5 linked regions of the Xenopus tropicalis genome follow. The protein of the gene in region 1 purifies or fractionates together with the protein of each later gene. This does not show direct contact. Links are inferred from orthologs where the notes say so. Each region holds a gene or a part of one and is shown in the gene's direction. Other genes may lie near its edges.

Region 1 (4,690 bases):
TGTGGCACCTTCTGGCCGTGGGTTACACTGTGGCCCCTTCTGGCCGTGGGTTACACTGTGGCCCCCTTCTGGCCGTGGGTTACACTGTGGCACCTTCTGGCCGTGGGTTACACTGTGGCACCTTCTGGCCGTGGGTTACACTGTGGCACCTTCTGGCAGTGGGTTACATTGTGGCACCTTCTGGCCGTGGGTAACACTGTGGCACCTTCAGGCCGTGGGTTACACTGTGGCACCTTCTGGCTGTGGGTTACACTGTGGCACCTTCTGGCCGTGGGTAACACTGTGGCACCTTCTGGCCGTGGGTTACACTGTGGAACCTTCTGGCCGTGGGTTACACTGTGGCACCTTCTGGCCGTGGGTTACACTGTGGCACCTTCTGGCCGTGGGTTACACTGTGGAACCTTCTGGCTGTGGGTAACCCTGTGGCACCTTCTGGCCGTGGGTTACACTGTGGCACCTTCTGGCCGTGGGTTACACTGTGGAACCTTCTGGCCGTGGTTACACTGTGGCACCTTCTGGCCGTGGGTTACACTGTGGAACCTTCTGGCCGTGGGTTACATTGTGGCACCTTCTGGCCGTGGGTAACACTGTGGAACCTTCTGGCCGTGGGTTACATTGTGGCACCTTCTGGTCGTGGGTAACACTGTGGCACCTTCTGGCTGTGGGTAACCCTGTGGCACCTTCTGGCCGTGGGTTACACTGTGGCACCTTCTGGCCGTGGGTTACACTGTGGCACCTTCTAGCCGTGGGTAACACTGTGGCACCTTCTGGCCGTGGGTTACACTGTGGCACCTTCTGGCCGTGGGTTACACTGTGGCACCTTCTGGCCGTGGGTTACACTGTGGCACCTTCTGGCCGTGGGTTACACTGTGGCACCTTCTGGCCGTGGGTTACACTGTGGCACCTTCTGGCCGTGGGTTACACTGTGGCACCTTCTGGCCGTGGGTTACACTGTGGCACCTTCTGGCCGTGGGTTACACTGTGGCACCTTCTGGCAGTGGGTAACACTATGGCACCTTCTGGCTGTGGGTTACACTGTGGCACCTTCTGGCCGTGGGTAACACTATGGCACCTTCTGGCTGTGGGTTACACTGTGGCACCTTCTGGCCGTGGGTTACACTGTGGCACCTTCTGGCCGTGGGTTACACTGTGGCACCTTCTGGCCGTGGGTAACACTGTGGCACCTTCTGGCCGTGGGTTACACTATGGCACCTTCTGGCCGTGGGTTACACTGTGGCACCTTCTGGCTGTGGGTTACACTGTGGCACCTGTGGCAATGGACCCCCATGATAAGAACATATACTTTATAAGTCAATGGACCCACATGATAAAAAAAAGCCTCGTTTTGGCCTTCAAAAAGGAAAAGCCCTAAAGGGGAACTAAGGTAGAGGGCAATGCTGGTGGATGATTTGTGGATCCAAGTATCTTAGGGTCTCGCCAGCAGTCTCTGTTGGAGACAAACTACTCACTCTCACCATGTGATGTCTCTTTTCATTGATCCAGAGCTGCAGATGATCCCCTACATGATCACCATTGGAGACGCCATTCATAACTTTGCCGATGGTTTGGCTATAGGAGCTGCATTCTCCACCTCTTGGAAAACTGGATTGGCGACATCTCTGGCTGTTTTATGCCACGAACTCCCCCACGAACTTGGTATGTCTCACCCTGTACGCTGGCCTAGATAGAATGGAACGATAGGATGTAAGAATCTGTGACTCTCCCATTCCCAGTGCAGGGAGACAAGGGGAACCATGGGATATGGAGTCTGCACCCTCCCACTGCAGGGTGACACAGAGATGCAGAGAGAAAGGAAATATGGGGAAGGATGGGGGGGCTAAGGGCTAAGTTGTTCTGGGGGTTTGCAATGACAAGTGACTCCCTGCCCCCAGGTGATTTTGCTGCCCTTCTCCATGCCGGTCTCCGGGTGCGTTGGGCTCTACTCCTGAACTTCTCCAGTGCCCTCACCGCATTCATTGGCCTGTACATCTCGCTGTCCATCTCGGCCGATGAAGCCGTCCAGCAGTGGATCTTCACTGTAGCCACCGGCCTCTTCCTCTATGTTGCTCTGGCAGATATGGTGAGACCACCCTCTTCTTATCATAACTGTACCCCAGTATACCTCTCTATATCATCACTGTACCCCAGTATACCTCTCTATATCATCACTGTACCCCAGTATACCTCTCTATATCATCACTGTACCCCAGTATACCTCTCTATATCATCACTGTACCCCAGTATACCTCTCTATATCATCCCTGTACCCCAATGGCCCTCTCTATATCATCCCTGTACCCCAGTATACCTCTCTATATCATCACTGTACCCCAGTATACCTCTCTATATCATCACTGTACCCCAGTATACCTCTCTATATCATCACTGTACCCCAGTATACCTCTCTATATCATCCCTGTACCCCAATGGCCCTCTCTAATTCTCTCTTTGTATCATCGCTGTACCCCAACAGCCCTCTCTAATTCTCTCTTTGTATCATCGCTGTACCCCAATGGCCCTCTCTAATTCTCTCTTTGTATCATCGCTATACCCCAATGGCCCTCTCTAATTCTCTCTTTGTATGATCACTGTACCCCAACAGCCCTCTCTAATTCTCTCTTTGTATCATCACTGTACCCCAATATACCTCTCTATATTATCACCGTACCCCAATGGACCTCTCTAATTCTTTCTTTGTATCATCACTGTACCCCAATGGCCCTCTCTAATTCTCTCTTTGTATCATCACTGTACCCCAACAACCCTCTCTAATTCTTTCTTTGTATCATTGCTGTACCCCAATGGCCCTCTCTAATTCTCTCTTTGTATCATCACTGTACCCCAATATACCTCTCTATATTATCACCTTATCCCAGTATACCTCTCTATATCATCACTGTACCTCAACGGACCTCTCTAATTCTCTCTTTGTATCATCACTGTACCCCAACAACCCTCTCTAATTCTCTCTTTGTGTCATCACTGTACCCCAATATACCTCTCTATATTATAACCGTATCCCAGTATACCTCTCTATATCATCACTGTACCCCAACGGACCTCTCTAATTCTTTCTTTGTATCATCACTGTACCCCAATAGCTCTCTTTAATTCTCTCTTTGTATCATCACTGTACCACAATGTTGCCCTAATTCTCTCTTTGTATCACCTCAAACACAAGGTCAGTATGGATAATTCCCCTATAGACTTGCCAGACAGAAGGTCATTGGAGACTTTGGGCAGCACCACCTCAGTTGAATGCAGTGGGTCAGGAAGAGGTTTAGAAGAGAGAAAGTGGGTTAAGTGGTTATAAAGAGAACATGAGAAAGGGTGGTAACTGGGAGGGGATCAAGGGAGGGTCTTTGGAAGGGGGATCCCAGTGGGGAAAGGGAGACAGAAGTGCTGGACACGTGGTGGGCGAGATGTGCCCGGATTGGATCAAGGGAAGGTACCTCCTCCTTATTCACCAGGAAGAATTGTAACAGTGTGGCATGATGGGAGTGAGGGGTGTCTTGTGTGCCAGGGTGATGTTAGGGTGCTAGCCCGTGTGTGCTGGGGTGATGTTAGGGTGCTGGTCTGTGTGTGTTGGGGTGATGTTAGGGTGCTGGTCTGTGTATGCCGGGGTGATGTTAGGGTGCTGGCCTGTGTGTGTTGGGGTGATGTTAGGGTGCTGGTCTGTGTGTGTTGGGGTGATGTTAGGTGCAGGCCTATAAGGTTAGGGTTCTGTAGAGAAAGCAGACAAAGGACCCACCCCAGTGAGTATATGTGAAGGATATGATACCACGGTCCCTCTCTTTGTATAAATGACCCGGGTTCTTGCCTTTCAGCTTCCCGCCATGATGAATGTGAAGCTCCACAGACCCTGGATCCTCTTCTTTCTCCATAATCTGGGGATTCTTTTGGGCTGGGTAATCCTCCTGATTTTATCACTTTATGAGGACAATATTGCCCTGTGAGGTCACCAATCTGCCTCAGAACATTGGTTCTGACCTTCCCGGGTATCTCCTACCTGAAGACAAAGCCGGATTGTCCAAAGAACATTCTATTCTAAGTCTTTATTGGGAAAGAATGAAACCGTGTTCCATTAAACTTGCTCTCAGACTTCTTTTGTGATCCAAAAACCAAATGGGTCAGGAGATTTGTGCTGGGTCCTTGGGGAGGTATCTCTCTGTAGACTGCCGGGGGGTTCTGTAGATCTAAGTTGAGGTCCAAAGCCTCCCCCTGTTTTGCTTTCCTTTGGGAAAGAACCAAAGAGTCCATTTCAGTGAGGGGCAGAGCGGCGCCACTATGTGCCCAGTTGGGCAACTAACAGAACAAAGTCTCGGGTTTCGGGCTGGAACTGAAAACCTCACCAGAGACAGAATTTTCTTTAAGTTTCAATAAAGAAATGATTGTTGAATGTTCCTAATCACAAATGTTCTGACATAAAGATGACAGGAGCCCCCTGAATGGTGGGCTGCACAATAGATTCCCCAGGGGAGGGACGGGTTACTGGGGGAGACTGGTGCCGCTGCTGGTACTGAAGCACCGTGATGAATTGGGTCGGGCTCCTGTGCCATTTCCTGGTACAGCTGGACCCAGAGATAAAACTCCTCCTTCAGCGCCTGTAGGCATGTATCGCAGTAACAAAAGACTTGTATACAAAATGATGCTTACTTTGCCTTTAATTGATTAAATGAGAGGTGAAAAT
Region 2 (5,116 bases), on another chromosome or scaffold:
ATAGTTCAGAAACAGTAATCTATATTTATCATACAAGAACTTATCTTGCAGGAATATTGTCCTACTAAAGTTAACATTTTTAAAAGCTTAATGCTAGTGTTAATCATAATATTCTAGCATAATAATTCCTGAAGCTGTCCTGTTGATCCACTACTACCTATATATATACTGCTTTAGCGGCCTGTGTGTTTCTACATGTAGCTTGCACTTCATTACAACAACAATCTCTTTATCTTATTAGGTCTCAATGGAAATCTAGTTTAGCACTGACCTAAAGAATTTCATTTAGTTCTAAGAAATTAAGTTGAAAGCAGTCCTGCCATCTGGTGGCAGCTATGATTGTTTTCTTATTCCCGCTGATAGTTTCTAATGTAGCCAAAGAGGCAAAACAGCAGTTGTTCTCAAAATGTGGAACTGGCCTACAGCAGTGGCTGAAGTAATACAGTGAAAAGGCCAGCTATATTAAGATTGGAGAGAATGCATACTGAGGGGCAGCTTTATAAAAAAATTCTATTAATTCCTATGGGATTTTTAGAAGCATATTTATCAATGGGTGAAAGTTAGAACTTAGCATTTGAAAAAAAACACTTCTAAAAATCCCATAGGAATGAACAGAATGTGGGGTTTTATGCATTAAGCCCTAAACTCACATTCTGATAAATCTGTCCCTTGTGGGCACATTCATTAAAGCACAAATTTTCACTAGTTAAAAGTGGAATAACCACAATAATTTCCGCTGTGCGAAAACTGCTCGAAAATTCTTTTCTTTGGTCATACAAAAATATTGTGGTTGCAGACCCGAACGACCCTGGTGCAACACCCTGGTGTCTGTATTAAAGGGGACCTGTCACCCTAAGAAATAATTCCAAATTGTTTTCTATTGTGTTTGTCAAGTAAAATAACCTTCTCTTACACTATAAAACATATATAAATACACATATTTTTTCTTTTCTTTTGCATTTAAACTTTGTTATACGCTTTCCCTAAATGGCTCTAAGGGCTCTGGCACACAGGGAGATTAGTCGCCCGCGGCAAAACTCCCTGTTCGCGGGCGACTAATCTCCCCGAGTTGCCTTCCCCCTGCCATCCCATCGGCGACAATGTAAGTCGCCGGTGGGATGGCAGACGCGGCGGGGCGATTTTGGGAAATTGGCGAAAAAGACTCACGAGTCTTTTTCGCCGATTTGCGCGAAATCGCGCCGCCGCGTGTGCCATCCCACTGGCGACTTACATGTTCGCCGGTGGGATGGCGGGTCATGGCAACTCGGGGAGATTAGTCGCCTGTGACAAGGGAGATTTGTCGCGGGCGACTAATCTCCCCGTGTGCCAGAGCCCTAAGGGGTAAGTGGGTAATTTCAAGAGTATCTACGGTTGCAAAGGAAATAAATCATTCTACCCTGACCTATATAAGGTTTGTCCAACCCGCCCCTTTAGAGAATAACCCCACCCCCTTTCGCGCCAGCAGGCCACTGACTGTATTCCTGCCTGTCCTACCGTGATGGCAAACCTGGAAATGTATAACACACAGTACAATTAAAATGTAGCTCGCCTCATTCTCACTGACTTGAGACAGTCTCTTTAGTGCCCTTATCCAAAATGGCCGCTCAGCTCTTGCATTGACGTTCCGTATCCCCATGTGACCTCTGCTTCCTTGCCCTTGCCGCTGTGTCGGGAAGATGCTGTCAGGCATGGCGCTGTGCAGGACAAGAAATTGCCGGTTTATGATGGGCGAGGATGGCAGGCGTATGAGGAAGTGTGTCCTCCTGTTGTGAGTAGCTACACGCCCCAGTTAGCTTTAGCTCAGTAATGTGAGCAGTGCAGGGATTCTCTGTGAGCCTACTTAGAATGACTAGGTCTGTCTCTCTGCTTCACTGACTGCCGGCTAATAAGCCCCATACTGTGACAGGCACACTGCAAGTGTCAGTGCGTATTTGAGCTAAAGCGCAGTGACCTTTTATTGTATGGAATAGGCTTTCTGGTGAACTGTAGGGCCTGGTGTTTCCCCTATAGACTCACTAATTTGTTCTTATATGGAGCTTTCCCCTTACACACTGTTCTACATGTGAGCCGATACACTGAGCCGCTGCGACATCTGATAAGGTGCTTTCTGCCGCCAGGCCTTGTGTTTATGGTAGATACGTCATTTTCCTGCACCGAGCAAGCAATACAGAGCCCTATAAAAGTATCCAGACCCATGATCAATTCTAATACGCTGTATCCCAGCGTGGGATATCAGTGTAATCACTGGAGGTTGCCTAACATTTGGGTCCCCCAGTGATTGTACCATTCTTTCTCCTATGATGTAGAGAGTGTTAATCTAAAGGTCCCCATACACGGGCCAATCCTACTGGTGGGCGATATCGGTAGAATCCAGGATAATTCGAATTAAAATGACGGGTATAGGAAAAGTCGGTCAGGGGACCGCATCAATGAGCCAAAGCAGTCCCCGATCCGACTAGATTTTCTAACCTGTCTGATCAAGATCTGGCTGATTTCAGGCCAGATATCGGTCGGGCAGGCCCGTCGGTAGTGCCCATACACGGGCCGATTAGCTGCCGAAACGGTCTAAGGGACCAATATCGGCAGCTAGAATTGGCCTGTGTATGGGGACCTTAAGATAATATGCAATTGGTCTTTTTTTTTTTCATATGTCCTCTAGCTACTGCTTGGCCTTAATTTTATCCTTGCACTGCTTGAGCAACAGTATTCCTGGCACAGCTTGTTTTTATATCCATTAGGACTAAACTACATGGGAGACTTTGATCAGACACAAATTTTGATGCCGCACCTGTAAAGTAAAGTTTAATCAGATAGTTGGATGGTGAGTTTTGTTCATGCGTCTACATCCGACAGTCGATGTATTTCCTATAGAAAAACAAGTCTGTCAGATACCATCAGTTTTTATCTCATTGAATGAAGACGCAGCATGCAGCACTCCCTTCCAACAGGCGTGTCACATCAAACAGCAATGCTTCCATGTACTTTACACATACCTGTCATTCCTACTGTCTTAAACTATGCAACTACAAACAGCTACACTTTACACTTGTAGGATGTGTTCTCTCGATCCAACACCATCTTACAAAAAGCTCCAATGTAGTTTAGCTCTAAGGCAACAAATACCTGTTAATTTCATTCATGATGGTTTTTAACTTTATCATTGCACTTGTATATATCGTTTTTTGTTTATAGGTACCAGCCATGCCATTTATCGACAAACTCCAAGCCGAAGAGCATGCTCTCCTTAATAGCTTCCAAGGCCAAATATGCCAATGAAAAATACGAGCATTTCTTGGAAAGAAAGTTCCCAAATTTTTATCTTTTGTATTCCACCTTCATGAAGGGTAAGTGATCCACACTTTTATGAATGCACATCCTGTCTTGTATCTACAATATAATCTGAAAAAAAAGAACCATCTCAATTAATGTGATATCTACTTTTGTGCTTCACTAGAAACCAAAGTCTGTTTGGTGCAGCTTTTTTAGCGCTGGGTATAGTTGCACCGGGGCAGTCAACTCATAGCAGCCAATGAATCTTTTGCTTGGTTATCTTTGGGTTACTGCCCCAGTGCAAATTAGCCCAGTGTTATCAAATATTTTGATATAAGTTTGTGAAGCTTTCAGTGCAAGGTAATAATTATACATTAAATCCAAAAAAAACGGGTGTTCAATGAGCAGCTTAAAGAGATACTGACACAAGAAATTAAACCCTTTTTTTTTTTTTTTTTTTTTTTTTTTTACATCTATCATAACATTGTCTTTGTATGACCTTAATAATTTTGCCATAAATGTATTTGCCTGATGCTTTTACATTGTCTGTCTGACCCCCATGATCCTCTATGAGGGGGCTGCAATATTTGTGCAGCAGTAGGCCGTTAGCATTAGAAGCTATAACTGACAGGCTGAGAAGGGACAGTCATGTTTAGGGACTCCAAGTAACCATTGCTTACAAAAGCAGCCCTATCAGCAAAAACAACATGACCTATAGGCAACTTTTTATGTACATTCATATTTTAAAGAGTTGTTTTTTAGTGTCAGTATCACTTAAGTGGCCACATGCTGAAATTATGTTTCCAAACTCCTGTTTGCTATATATACTGCAAAGTGTATGAGTATGTAAGTGTATGCATACACACAGACATTGGGAAGTGTAAAAGAAAATAAACACTTGACCTTAAAGGGGTGGTTCAACTTCAGATAAACTGTCTGTTAAGTACTTTTAAGAATGTGCAGTTCTTCGCAGGTCTCCAGTTGGTCTTCCCTGAATTATTTGCCTTTTTCTTCCAACACTTTTCAGCCTTTGAATGAGGGTCACTGACCCCAAAAAGCCAAAATGATTGCTCTTTGAGGCTACAATTCTGTTGTTATATTTTATGACATATGTTTCTATTTAGGCCTCTCCTATACATTTTTCAAACTATTACTCACACCACTGCTTGGTTGCAAAGGTAATTAGGACACTAGCAACCAGATAGCCCCTGAAATTCTGATCTGGAGATCCTTTGAACAAAAAGCTAAATAATTCAAAAACTACATATAATAAAAATGAAAGACCCATTATGAATCAGAATATCCCTCTCTGCATCATCCTAAAAGTTAATTTAAAGGTGAACAACCCTTTTAAACTCAAAGAACTGACCATGCAGGTAATTGTAAAATCCAACCAATTTGTTCTGAATAATGTCCAGGCTTTAGGATGCTTATGACAGAAGCAAAAGAAGTAGGCCGCATTAAGCAAAGAATGAACCACCAAGGAATACCGTTCCACCAGCTGCCTTATCGGGAAATGGAGAAATTAAGGCAGGTATGTTTTGAGAGGGGCTACAACTGTTGCTTAGTTAAAATGCCTTTGTTACGGTGCTCTGTTTTTCTTAACTCAATGTGTGCAGGCGAAGAGTGAACAATTTAAAAATTTCCAGGTAATGCTACAACTTGATGTAGAGCTCATAATACCTGCATGAAAGGGACCCGTTATAGCTGGGTGTTACTGGAGGGAAGGAATTGAGAATAAAGCATGGAGCAAGCCCATAAATAATGCATATACAATTAACAAAGTTGGATGTATTAAACAACCTGCTTTTCTCTGTGGCCTCAGTCAGGGTAAAGCATCAAATTG
Region 3 (5,419 bases), on another chromosome or scaffold:
CACTGGGCACCATGTTACAGAGGGGCACACACACACACACACACACACACACACAGGGAGAGGCACTGGGCACCATGTTACAGAGGGGCACACACACACACACACACACACAGGGAGGGGCACTGGGCACCATGTTACAGAGGGGGCACACACACACAGGGAGGGGCACTGGGGCACCATGTTACAGAGGGGGCACACACACACACACACACAGGGAGGGGCACTGGGCACCATGTGTTACAGAGGGGGCACACACACACACACACCCACACACACAGGGAGGGGCACTGGGCACCATGTTACAGAGGGCACCACACACACACACACAGGGAGGGGCACTGGGCACCATGTTACAGAGGGGGCACACACACACACACACACACAGGGAGGGGCACTGGGCACCATGTTACAGAGGGGGCACACACAACACAGGGAGAGGCACTGGGCACCATGTTACAGAGGGGGCACACACACACACACACACACAGGGAGGGGGCACTGGGCACCATGTTACAGAGGGGCACACACACACACACACAGACAGGGAGGGGCACTGGGCACCATGTTACAGAGGGGGCACACACACACAGGGAGGGGCACTGGGCACCATGTTACAGAGGGGGCACACACACACACACACACACAGGGAGGGGCACTGGGGCACCATGTTACAGAGGGGGCACACACACACACACAGGGAGGGGCACTGGGCACCATGTTACAGAGGGGCACACACACACACACACAGGGAGGGGCACTGGGGCACCATGTTACAGAGGGGGCACACACACACACACACACACACACAGGGGAGGGGCACTGGGCACCATGTTACAGAGGGGGCACACACACACAGGGAGAGGCACTGGGCACCATGTTTACAGAGGGGGCACACACACACACACACACACACACACAGGGAGGGGCACTGGGCACCATGTTACAGAGGGGGCACACACACACAGGGAGGGGCACTGGGCACCATGTTACAGAGGGAGCACACACACACAGGGAGGGGCACTGGGCACCATGTTACAGAGGGGCACACACACACACACACACACACAGGGAGGGGCACTGGGCACCATGTTACAGAGGGAGCACACACACACAGGGAGGGGCACTGGGCACCATGTTACAGAGGGGCACACACACACACACACACACACACACACACACACACAGGGAGGGGCACTGGGCACCATGTTACAGAGGGGCACACACACACACAGGGAGGGGCACTGGGCACCATGTTACAGAGGGAGCACACACACACAGGGAGGGGCACTGGGCACCATGTTACAGAGGGCACACACACACGGGAGGGGCACTGGGCACCATGTTACAGAGGGAGCACACACACACAGGGAGGGGCACTGGGCACCATGTTACAGAGGGGCACACACACACACACACACACACACACAGGGGGGCACTGGGCACCATGTTACAGAGGGGGCACACACACACACAGGGAGGGGCACTGGGCACCATGTTACAGAGGGGCACACACACACACAGGGAGGGCACTGGGCACCCATGTTACAGAGGGGGCACACACACACACAGGGAGGGGCACTGGGCACCATGTTACAGAGGGGGCACACACACACACAGGGAGGGGCACTGGGCACCATGTTACAGAGGGGGCACACACCACACACAGGGAGGGGCACTGGGCACCATTTACAGAGGGGGCACACACACACACAGGGAGGGGCACTGGGCACCATGTTACAGAGGGGGCACACACACACACAGGGAGGGGCACTGGGCACCATGTTACAGAGGGGGCACACACACAGCAATAGAAGCGGAAGAATGGGCAGACATTGCCAGTACTAAAGATGGCGCCGGGCAGGAAGTAGTGTTGGAAGGAGTCGGCCGAGGTTATAAGTAGCAGCCATGTTGGGAAGGTCAGAAGTGTGAGGGAAGCGGAGCCGGGAGTTGGGGAGTGGGAACCCGAGCCCAGGTACGTGCCCTTCCCATTAACCCCCCCAGCCCCGCCATTAACCCCCCCAGCCCCGCCATTAAAACCCCCCAGCCCCGCCATTAACCCCCCAGCCCCGCCATTAACCCCCCCAGCCCGCCATTAACCCCCCCAGCCCCGCCATTAACCCCCCAGCCCCGCCATTAACCCCCCAGCCCGCCATTAACCCCCCCAGCCCCGCCATTAACCCCCCCAGCCCCGCCATTAACCCCCCCAGCCCCGCCATTAACCCCCCCAGCCCCGCCATTAACCCCCACAGCCCCGCCATTAACCCCCACAGCCCCGCCATTAACCCCCACAGCCCCGCCATTAACCCCCACAGCCCCGCCATTAACCCCATTACCCCTGCTGGGGCAGTTAGTGAGGGGGAGCTGTGGGACTGACAGGGTTACCCCTGCTGGGGCAGTTAGTGAGGGGGGGCTGTGGGACTGACAGGGTTACCCCTGCTGGGGCAGTTAGTGAGGGGAGCTGTGGACTGACGGGTTACCCCTGCTGGGGCAGTTAGTGAGGGGGAGCTGTGGGACTGACAGGGTTACCCCTGCTGGGGCAGTTAGTGAGGGGGGGCTGTGGGACTGACAGGGTTACCCCTGCTGGGGCAGTTAGTGAGGGGGAGCTGTGGGACTGACAGGGTTACCCCTGCTGGGGCAGTTAGTGAGGGGGGGCTGTGGGACTGACAGGGTTACCCCTGCTGGGGCAGTTAGTGAGAGGGGGCTGTGGGACTGACAGGGTTACCCCTGCTGGGGCAGTTAGTGAGGGGGGGCTGTGGGACTGACAGGGTTACCCCTGCTGGGGCAGTTAGTGAGGGGGGGCTGTGGGACTGACAGGGTTACCCCTGCTGGGGCAGTTAGTGAGGGGGGGCTGTGGGACTGACAGGGTTACCCCTGCTGGGCAGTTAGTGAGGGGGGGCTGTGGGACTGACAGGGTTACCCCTGCTGGGGCAGTTAGTGAGGGGGGGCTGTGGGACTGACAGGGTTACCCCTGCTGGGGCAGTTAGTGAGGGGGGGCTGTGGGACTGACAGGGTTACCCCTGCTGGGGCAGTTAGTGAGGGGGGGCTGTGGGACTGACAGGGTTACCCCTGCTGGGGCAGTTAGTGAGGGGGGGCTGTGGGACTGACAGGGTTACCCCTGCTGGGGCAGTTAGTGAGGGGGAGCTGTGGGGACTGACAGGGTTACCCCTGCTGGGGCAGTTAGTGAGGGGGAGCTGTGGGACTGACAGGGTTACCCCTGCTGGGGCAGTTTAGTGAGGGGGAGCTGTGGGACTGACAGGGTTACCCCTGCTGGGGCAGTTAGTGAGGGGGGGGGGAAGGGTCTGTTGGGACTGACAGGGTTACCCCTGCTGGGGCAGTTAGTGAGGGGGAGCTGTGGGACTGACAGGGTTACCCCTGCTGGGGCAGTTAGTGAGGGGGAGCTGTGGGACTGACAGGGTTACCCCTGCTGGGGGCAGTTAGTGAGGGGGAGCTGTGGGACTGACAGGGTTACCCCTGCTGGGGCAGTTAGTGAGAGGGGGCTGTGGGACTGACAGGGTTACCCCTGCTGGGCAGTTAGTGAGGGGGAGCTGTGGGACTGACAGGGTTACCCCTGCTGGGGCAGTTAGTGAGGGGGGGCTGTGGGACTGACAGGGTTACCCCTGCTGGGGCAGTTAGTGAGGGGGAGCTGTGGGACTGACAGGGTTACCCCTGCTGGGGGCAGTTAGTGAGAGGGGGCTGTGGGACTGACAGGGTTACCCCTGCTGGGGCAGTTAGTGAGGGGGAGCTGTGGGACTGACAGGGTTACCCCTGCTGGGGCAGTTAGTGAGGTGGGGCTGTGGGACTGACAGGGTTACCCCTGCTGGGGCAGTTAGTGAGGGGGAGCTGTGGGACTGACAGGGTTACCCCTGCTGGGGGCAGTTAGTGAGGGGGAGCCGTGGGACTGACAGGGTTACCCCTGCTGGGGCAGTTAGTGAGGGGGGGGCTGTGGGACTGACAGGGTTACCCCTGCTGGGGCAGTTAGTGAGGGGGGGCTGTGGGACTGACAGGGTTACCCCTGCTGGGGCAGTTAGTGAGGGGGGGGCTGTGGGACTGACAGGGTTACCCCTGCTGGGGGCAGTTAGTGAGGGGGGGCTGTGGGACTGACAGGGTTACCCCTGCTGGGGCAGTTAGTGAGGGGGGGCTGTGGGAACTGACAGGGTTACCCCTGCTTGGGCAGTTAGTGAGGGGGGGCTGTGGGACTGACAGGGTTACCCCTGCTGGGGCAGTTAGTGAGGGGGGGCTGTGGGACTGACAGGGTTACCCCTGCTGGGGCAGTTAGTGAGGGGGGGCTGTGGACTGACAGGGTTACCCCTGCTGGGGCAGTTAGTGAGGGGGGGGGCTGTGGGACTGACAGGGGTTTACCCCTGCTGGGGCAGTTAGTGAGGGGGAGCTTGTGGGACTGACAGGGTTACCCCTGCTGGGGCAGTTAGTGAGGGGGGGCTGTGGGACTGACAGGGTTACCCCTGCTGGGGCAGTTAGTGAGGGGGGGCTGTGGGACTGACAGGGTTACCCCTGCTGGGGCAGTTAGTGAGGGGGAGCTGTGGGGACTGACAGGGTTACCCCTGCTGGGGCAGTTAGTGAGGGGAGCCGTGGGACTGACAGGGTTACCCCTGCTGGGGCAGTTAGTGAGGGGGAGCTGTGGGACTGACAGGGTTACCCCTGCTGGGGCAGTTAGTGAGGGGAGCTGTGGGACTGACAGGGTTACCCCTGCTGGGGCAGTTAGTGAGGGGAGCCGTGGGACTGACAGGGTTACCCCTGCTGGGGCAGTTAGTGAGGGGGGGCTGTGGGACTGACAGGGTTACCCCTGCTGGGGCAGTTAGTGAGGGGAGCTGTGGGACTGACAGGGTTACCCCTGCTGGGGCAGTTAGTGAGGGGGAGCCGTGGGACTGACAGGGTTACCCTGCTGGGGCAGTTAGTGAGGGGGGGCTGTGGGACTGACAGGGTTACCCCTGCTGGGGCAGTTAGTGAGAGGGGCTGTGGGACTGACAGGGTTACCCCTGCTGGGGCAGTTAGTGAGGGGGGGCTGTGGGACTGACAGGGTTACCCCTGCTGGGGCAGTTAGTGAGGGGGGGCTGTGGGACTGACAGGGTTACCCCTGCTGGGGCAGTTAGTGAGGGGGGGCTGTGGGGACTGACAGGGTTACCCCTGCTGGGGCAGTTAGTGAGGGGGAGCTGTGGGACTGACAGGGTTAATTCTCCTGGGGCAGTTAGTGAGGGGGGCTGTGGGACTGACAGGGTTACCCCTGCTGGGGCAGTTAGTGAGGGGGGCTGTGGGACTGACAGGGTTACCCCTGCTGGGGCAGTTAGTGAGGGGGAGCTGTGGGACTGACAGGGTTACCCCTGCTGGGGCAGTTAGTGAGGGGGAGCTGTGGGACTGACAGGGTTACCCCTGCTGGGGCAGTTAGTGAGGGGGAGCTGTGGGA
Region 4 (3,615 bases), on another chromosome or scaffold:
AACTGCCTACATTTAAATAAACATTTAAAATAAAACATTTTTGAAGGCATTTTTGGGAGAAGCACTGATTATAAAGAACCTTTTTTAATGATGAAGTGAATGAAACTTTAAGGCCGAAGACACACAGGGCTACAAAGTTTTAAAAAATTGGTAGCGGTGTGTCTTTACCCTTACCCTAAGGCAGTGCTGTCCAACTGGCGGCCCGCGACCCCCCTCTGTGTGGCCCCCCACCTGTCTGGCTGCTTTGATGGCTTACCTTTGAGTAAGCATTAAATGGTATCAGTGCTGAGATTAACTGGCCCCCTGCATGGTTCTCACCTCAGATTCAGGCTGTAATCCCTCTGTATTGTTTAAAAATGTAATCCCCTGTGTTTTTCACACCTTTTAATACCTGCATTGTTCACCCCCTGCAGTGTTCACACCTCAGGCTCAGACTGTAATCACTCCCATTGTTCACTTCTTCACACCTCAGACATAGGTACTGTAGGCAGAGTATGGCACATACAGCCAGCATAGGTCAGGGAGGGTATGGCACACACAGGAAGAGTAGGGCAGGCAGAGTATGGCACACACAGGAAGGGTAGGGCAGGCAGAGTATGGCACACACAGTCAGGGTAGGGCAGGCAGAGTATGGCACACACAGGCAGGGTAGGGCAGGCAGAGTATGGCACACAGAGGCAGCATAGGGAAGGCAGAGTATGGCACACACAGGCAGGGTAGGACAGGCAGAGTATGGCACACACAGGCAGGGTAGGGCAGACAGAGTATGGCACGCACAGACAGCTTAGGACAGGCAGAGTGCTTCCTGTGTGTGCCATACTCTGCTTGCCCTATGCTGCTTGTGGGAGGTGAACCTGGCAGGGTTTGTTGTGGGAGTTTGTTAGCAGTTGGAAATAGCCATTAAATGGTCCCTAAGGTGTGTAATTATGTACTGGGGGTTGCTCTGCTATCCACAGGGGAGGAGGAGGCATATGGAATTTAAGGGTATATCTTAATATGACATAATTCTTTCACATATGAATGATGGTTGATATCCCCACAGTAAGGACCAAGCATTTGGGATTTTGCTGTACTACCACCATTGTGATAAAATAGGTGTGGTTTGAAGTGGGTGTGGTTTCAAAAAGGGGAGTGGTCAAAACTGGCTTCCATTAGCGGCCCTCCACCATGTATGCTAGAGAAATTCCGGCCCTCGGCACCGTAGAAGTTGGACAGCACTGCCCTAAGGAAATCTGTGGCCATAGTAATGTTGTTGTATCTTCAACCTCCAGTTGAACAGATCTGTTTTTCAGGGTATATTTTGTGTTAATTTCAAGTTATACATTACCCTGTTCTGTTAGAAAAAGAAGTAGCACATTAGGACATGCACCTTTTTCCTGTTGATTGTAATTGGAAATTTCAGGGGTAACTCAATGCAGGTTACCTTAAGGCAGGGTTGGCCAACACGTTGATCGCGGTCTACCAGTTGATCCCCATGAATTTCTGGTAGACTGCGTCTAAGCCAGGGAATGTGTGTGCTGCGTCTTAGGGGAACAAAGTCTTGGCACCCCGGCGTTAAGAGCAAAAGCACTCACCTGCACAATCACATAATCACTCAAAAATGTGCCACTCAGCATTTGCTCTCAGTTATGTGAGTAGACTGACTTTTATTTGGCTATTCATATTGTCTTCAATGGTCCCCGATCCGACTAAATTTTTAAACCTGTCCAATCGAGATCTGGTCAATTTCAGGCCAGATGTCAGTCGCGCAGGCCCGTCATTGGTGCCCATACACGGGACAATAAGCTGCCGAGTCGGTCTAAGGGACCAATATCACAGAAACTCCTCACAGAAGTATATTCTCATTCTTTTCTAACTACTAATAACGCATCTTGCACTCTACATTTTTCCATTGCAAAGTACATACTGTTATTCTACATGCTTAAATGTTAATTCCTTTATCCTGCTAATAATGACAGTCATTGGTACTAATGGTGAAATGATTCTAATTTGTGAATATTAGCACAAAACATATTAAATAGCATAAAGTTGTGTGATAATGGTTCAATTTCTCTTGCTTTTTAAAGTAATATTTGTGGCTTTGTGTTTTGTAAGGGAGCAAAGTTTGTGTAGCTGTTGATTTTATATATTTTTCTTTTGTGTAGGTGGATGGATGTAAAGTTTATTCCAGAAGACAATAAATTTATCTGTTAATCCTGCTTAATGGCTGTGGTGGTCTCTTCATTTGGCCTTCTAATCTTTATTTGAAGAAACAAGAACCTTGGCCTGTTTCTCTTTTGTCTTCAGAAGTGCAATACCTAAAACTCTAAATCTCAAATCACTTTCCATACTGGATCTGGGACCCCCCAGGGGAATGCCGCGCAAGGTCAGCGTGGCGGCCTGGGGGGCAGCCCTCTTTATCTCATGGAATGCAATTCTACTCCTCTACCTCATGAGCAGGTCCCGTGGTACTGATCATTCCGATCTTACTGCGCATGTTATCCAGTTGGCTGAAGCAGCAGAGGCTGAGCTTGAAAAACAGAAGGGATTACTTCAACAAATACACTACTACAGTGGCCTACTTAACAACCAGCAGTCTCCTTCACATGTAAGGCCAGCACCTGTAATACCCATTAAGAAGTCTAATATGTCATCCACTTCATCTCCTGTGAGATCAGATCCTCTCTCTTTGGTCATTCCAATCCTAGTGGTGGCATGTGACCGTCCCTCAGTGAGGAGATGCCTGGATTCATTGTTAAAATACCGACCCTCAGCGGAAAAATTCCCCATAATAGTGAGCCAAGACTGTGGTCATGAGGAGACTGGGAAGGTCATTGACTCCTATGGAGATGCTGTAACTCATATCAAGCAGCCTGATCTCTCAGAGGTGGCTGTCCCACCAGAACACCGGAAGTTTCAAGGTTATTATAAAATTTCCCGTCATTACAGATGGGCACTCAACCAGGTAAGAGATTTTTGAACGAGAGTGAAGAAAGACAGGTTGCTGGGGGGACAGTGAAGAGTAAATTGATTAATTCAGAAATGGTACAGACAAAGTGTATTTGTTGCAGCAGATAAAACAATAGGCTCAGAAGCACACAAATACCTTATAACATCTATAACCTTTAAAGTAAAATATTAGGCATTTATTTGTATTATTATTATTTGTATTATTTGTATTTGTGCCACAAAGGCCTGAGCCTGGGGGGGCATGTCACCCAAGCAGCACTGAAACTTTGCCCACATATGGCGCAGTGGGGACAGGAAGCGCAGAAAACTTCAGCACATCCTGTCCCCAGTGCTCCGTATGCGTGCTAAATGGGTGTGCATGCGTGGGAAGGGGGGCCTTGGGGTGCCATGATCACAAATCAGTATTGTGTGTTTATTAATAGCTAAACAGTTTCCATTTTAAAATGTTTAGTTTTGCATTGTTGCATAAATAACACTCAGAATTCAGGTGAGTGAAAAGAGTAACCTTCCTGAAATCCTTTGAAGTCATTATCAGTAAGCAGGAATACCTGATACTTTTTGCAACTAACATATTTGGGCTCACTAACAAAAGGGGAGATATGTGCAACATGCAAAGACTCAAAGTACCATATTTTTAATTCATATTGTACATTGATGCCCTGTATG
Region 5 (3,625 bases), on another chromosome or scaffold:
TTAAAGTACAAACATACATAAACATATTAGCATAAATGGGTCCCATGTTAGCACCCATAGCGCACCCCATGTGCTGTACATAGTATTGTTCCAAAAATACAAAATAATTTTTTAATATTTCCAGGGCCACACAAACGACACTTTTTTTGTGTGGCTCAGAATTCTGCGCATGTATCGTGTATCTGACAGTATCCTTGGGGGACCTACAATGCATTTCCAGGAATTCATTTTCATCCAATTGGTGTCTGCCAAATATTTCATGTTTAGAACATCCTCTGATTTGGCTTTATGCTACAATTTCAGTCTGAATGTTAGTTTTAGATTGTTGTATTTAAATGTACAATCAATATCTGAATGTTTGTCAGAAGACTAAGATCTGAACGTGCATGGCCACCTTTAGAATTGGATAGCACTGTATAAAATATAATGTACCTATGCATATCTTGTTCAAGAGAAAGGCAAAGTTTATATTTCAGCATATTATTCCAACCAATTGCCTTTGTTTACCCATGTGAATTTGGTGTTTATAAACCAAAAGAAATGAAGCTATAGATTTCATAGAGACTTTGTTGGTTACAACCTATATTAATAAAATCCCTCAAAATGCCTGCTATGAGCACTAGAAGTGTAGGAAATTATACCAAAACAAATTCTTGTGATGTATAAGGTGATCATTTTTTTTTCCATTTTTTAATGATTGGGTCAGTGGTACCAGATAGCAGGTAACACGAGAAATAAATATAATTCTTCCAGGAAGAGGTTAATCTGGATTTGATGCTTTTCCTGGTGGCATTAAACGTTCTGTTAAATTTGCAGTGATCAAAACTGATTACTCCCTAGGATCAAAATATTAATATATGTGCAAAATATTCATTTGTGTGCACACAGGTTTTGACAGTCGTCGGTGTGCATTCTTTGCTATATCATTTCAGATTTCTTGTTTTTCCAGTTTCAGCTGTATACGACTCAACCCTCAATTTTAGAAACAATGAAAATCCTACATTGCTTGGAGTTTTGAATGGGAAGAAATACCACGCGGACCTGTGTGTCAGGTAAGCAGTTTTCCATTTAGCTTTTTAGCTTCTTGTAACTGAATGAAACTGATTTTCTTTGAATGTGTAACTTTGTTTTATAGGGAAAATGTGCTCAAAGTAAATGCCCTTGCCTAAGCATTATGTTGACAATATGCTATGAAGGTTCTGCACTCAAAGCTGTAACACAAATGCCATTTTGTGTCCAAAGCAGGTTTATGATGATGCATGCTATCACTGCCATAAACTAGTAGCAAAGGTCACTTCCCACTGCAAAGGAAAATGCCACGAGTAGCCTTCAACCCAGTATTGTTGCACGTGTGTGTTTTTTCAGGGAATAATTCATGTATAGTATATCACAATCTAAACAAGTTTGCTATTATACTAGGGGTGATTCTGAGACCAATTCCGCCCCATCCCAGACCCCCCCTTCCCTTCTAAAACAACTGAAGTGGTAAAAGTTAATGTACAGTCAGTATCTAATTCTTCTATGACTAAGGTTCATTTATATTTACACTGGTAGACCCATTACCATCTTCCCCAAAGATCTTTGGAAAATGCACAGCAAACATAGTGGCAACAGCTGGAACTTTGCTCAGAACGCACTTCCTAGTAGATGCCCGTTACCCTCATGTGTGCTTTAAAGAGCAAGTCTAAATAGCCGATCGAGAGAGTGCGGAGACTTGCAACTTGTGTTTTTTTTTTAAATATTTCGCTTTTTGTTCAGCAACTTTATTGGCTGGTGGGTCAGTGACCCCTATTGAAAGCTGGAAAGAGTCAGAAGAAGGCAGAAAATAATTTGGGCATTCTTTAAGATATTAAAAGTTAACTTAACTTAAAGGTGAACCACCCTTTTAAGCAGCCCAGAAATACGCAACCACAACACTCAAAACTTGCCCAGAATAGACTTGCATTGAAATCTCACTCCAACTGCTGCATGAAGAGATACAGATTGATGTGACATGTAATTTGATTTGATTTTAGAAGTGCTACAGAATTTCTAATTATTTATATGTGGAAAGTTTCTGGTTTTCATGAGCTGAATTTTCAATTTCACGATAGTTCTCCTTTTAAATCTGTGTATAAAAATGAAATAATATTCTAATAAGTAATCATGGGACTGTATCCTTTGCAATCTTTCTTTTGGCCATTGTGTTGATGATTTGTTGACTCTTTCCGTTTCATGTCTCAGGAGAATCCCATTAGAAGAAATCCCAGAGGATGAGCAGGAATGTGCCTCTTGGCTCCACAAACTGTATCAGGAAAAGGTCAGTATTTTTATTAATGGATATTTGTTAGAGCTGATTTTATTAACCTCGCACCAAGTTGGTATAATCATATTGGTGGTTACATGTATTTGTAATTATATTTCCATATGAATTTGCTAATTAACTATTGAAGGGGTTTTCCACCCAAAATGAAATTTTCCATACAAATAGATTTTTCCAACATATCCCATTTTAACTGGCTGGCTGCTCAAGTCAGCACTTACAATGTTGCAAAGATGCATTGAATCCAAAAACACAGATACACACGTATTTCATATATGAACTGTATTCCAGCCTACTAGATCTGAATACTGTCCCCCAGAAGAGGAAATTGTACAAAGGCCCGTAGCTGTAGTTGTAGGTTTATACTTCATCCTGAAGAATTTTTCTCCTTAAAATGAAATTGAAGATCATTCAGACAGCACCTTAGCACTTCTAAAATGAAAGGAAAATATACCTCCCTGTTTGACCTTGGGTCGTTCCGTTGGGCTTATGTAAAAAAATATATATAAACACTCTCTGAAGTAAGTAAATTTTCTTGATCTTTGTATCTTTAGGATGCATTTCAGGAGGAATACTACAAGACCGGTGCCTACCCAGGGACTGCAGTTGTGCCACCTAGGAGACCATGGACCCTTATAAACTGGATATTTTGGGCCTCTCTGCTTTCATATCCCTTATTTAAAGTGCTGGCAAACATGATCAGCAGTGGATCGTATTTTACAATTTCCGTCTTTGCATTATTAATGGTTATTGGTAAGTGCACACACATTTCCCTATACTTACACTGACTTGAATGTAGTTGTGCCTATTACACTTAGGGGCCCATTTACTAAGGTTTTGTGAGAAAAGTTAAATTTTTTTAATTTTGTTTTTTTCGAGATTTATGTATATTTTCAAGGGGAAGTTAATCCCATCATTGTTTTCGAATTCACCCATTTCCAAGTGAAACTTAAACACATCTTAAACAGCATCTGACAAGTTGGATGTAGTCGTGTGGGCCAAAATATAATGGGATTGATACAAAATTCTTTGTATCAAAGAGTTTAGCTCTTACACAAAGTAGGTTAAATAAGGAAAGGAATCTGTATTTTATTTTTTTTAACGTATATAAAATGCCCTTTCCACTCACCACAGTCTCGGCTCACCTGCATCTATAGGCTGCCTGCACTGGCTTTCTGGTTCTTTTGGTGTTTGGTGTGTGCTTCCCTCTCTACAGGGGGCTGGGCAGAGCTGGTATCTGATGAAGAGCACTATCTATTATCCTCCCCTCTTCAATACTGGTCACTAAAAACTGGTAATTAAAACCCTAAGGTGCTACAAAAA

What was found.
Region 2: the proteins of slc39a4 (region 1) and letmd1 purify together in Homo sapiens (affinity purification with mass spectrometry; 3 studies listed by BioGRID and IntAct, counting the BioPlex papers as one, with this or other methods). This does not show direct contact. The link is inferred for Xenopus tropicalis from reciprocal best matches to the Homo sapiens genes SLC39A4 and LETMD1.
Region 3: the proteins of slc39a4 (region 1) and abcb10 purify together in Homo sapiens (affinity purification with mass spectrometry; 3 studies listed by BioGRID and IntAct, counting the BioPlex papers as one, with this or other methods). This does not show direct contact. The link is inferred for Xenopus tropicalis from reciprocal best matches to the Homo sapiens genes SLC39A4 and ABCB10.
Region 4: the proteins of slc39a4 (region 1) and mgat1 purify together in Homo sapiens (affinity purification with mass spectrometry; 3 studies listed by BioGRID and IntAct, with this or other methods). This does not show direct contact. The link is inferred for Xenopus tropicalis from reciprocal best matches to the Homo sapiens genes SLC39A4 and MGAT1.
Region 5: the proteins of slc39a4 (region 1) and agpat4 purify together in Homo sapiens (affinity purification with mass spectrometry; 3 studies listed by BioGRID and IntAct, with this or other methods). This does not show direct contact. The link is inferred for Xenopus tropicalis from reciprocal best matches to the Homo sapiens genes SLC39A4 and AGPAT4.

What each region holds. Positions count from the first base shown.
Region 1 is NC_030682.2:154,047,808-154,052,497, forward strand, and holds the end of slc39a4 (zinc transporter ZIP4), read left to right. Parts: intron 1-1,503; coding exon 1,504-1,656; intron 1,657-1,892; coding exon 1,893-2,080; intron 2,081-3,827; coding exon 3,828-3,956; 3' UTR 3,957-4,105; downstream 4,106-4,690. UniProt on the Homo sapiens protein: Selective transporter that mediates the uptake of Zn(2+). Plays an essential role for dietary zinc uptake from small intestine. The Zn(2+) uniporter activity is regulated by zinc availability.
Region 2 is NC_030678.2:142,123,680-142,128,795, forward strand, and holds the start of letmd1 (LETM1 domain-containing protein 1), read left to right. Parts: upstream 1-1,631; 5' UTR 1,632-1,688; coding exon 1,689-1,768; intron 1,769-3,192; coding exon 3,193-3,344; intron 3,345-4,688; coding exon 4,689-4,804; intron 4,805-5,116. UniProt on the Homo sapiens protein: Plays an essential role for mitochondrial structure and function, as well as thermogenesis of brown adipocytes.
Region 3 is NC_030679.2:152,899,406-152,904,824, forward strand, and holds the start of abcb10 (ATP-binding cassette sub-family B member 10, mitochondrial), read left to right. Parts: upstream 1-1,868; 5' UTR 1,869-1,972; intron 1,973-5,419.
Region 4 is NC_030684.2:71,520,286-71,523,900, forward strand, and holds part of mgat1 (alpha-1,3-mannosyl-glycoprotein 2-beta-N-acetylglucosaminyltransferase), read left to right. Parts: intron 1-2,144; 5' UTR 2,145-2,353; coding exon 2,354-2,944; intron 2,945-3,615. UniProt on the Homo sapiens protein: Initiates complex N-linked carbohydrate formation. Essential for the conversion of high-mannose to hybrid and complex N-glycans.
Region 5 is NC_030681.2:53,400,901-53,404,525, reverse strand, and holds part of agpat4 (1-acyl-sn-glycerol-3-phosphate acyltransferase delta), read left to right. Parts: intron 1-949; coding exon 950-1,052; intron 1,053-2,223; coding exon 2,224-2,299; intron 2,300-2,856; coding exon 2,857-3,055; intron 3,056-3,625. UniProt on the Homo sapiens protein: Converts 1-acyl-sn-glycerol-3-phosphate (lysophosphatidic acid or LPA) into 1,2-diacyl-sn-glycerol-3-phosphate (phosphatidic acid or PA) by incorporating an acyl moiety at the sn-2 position of the glycerol backbone.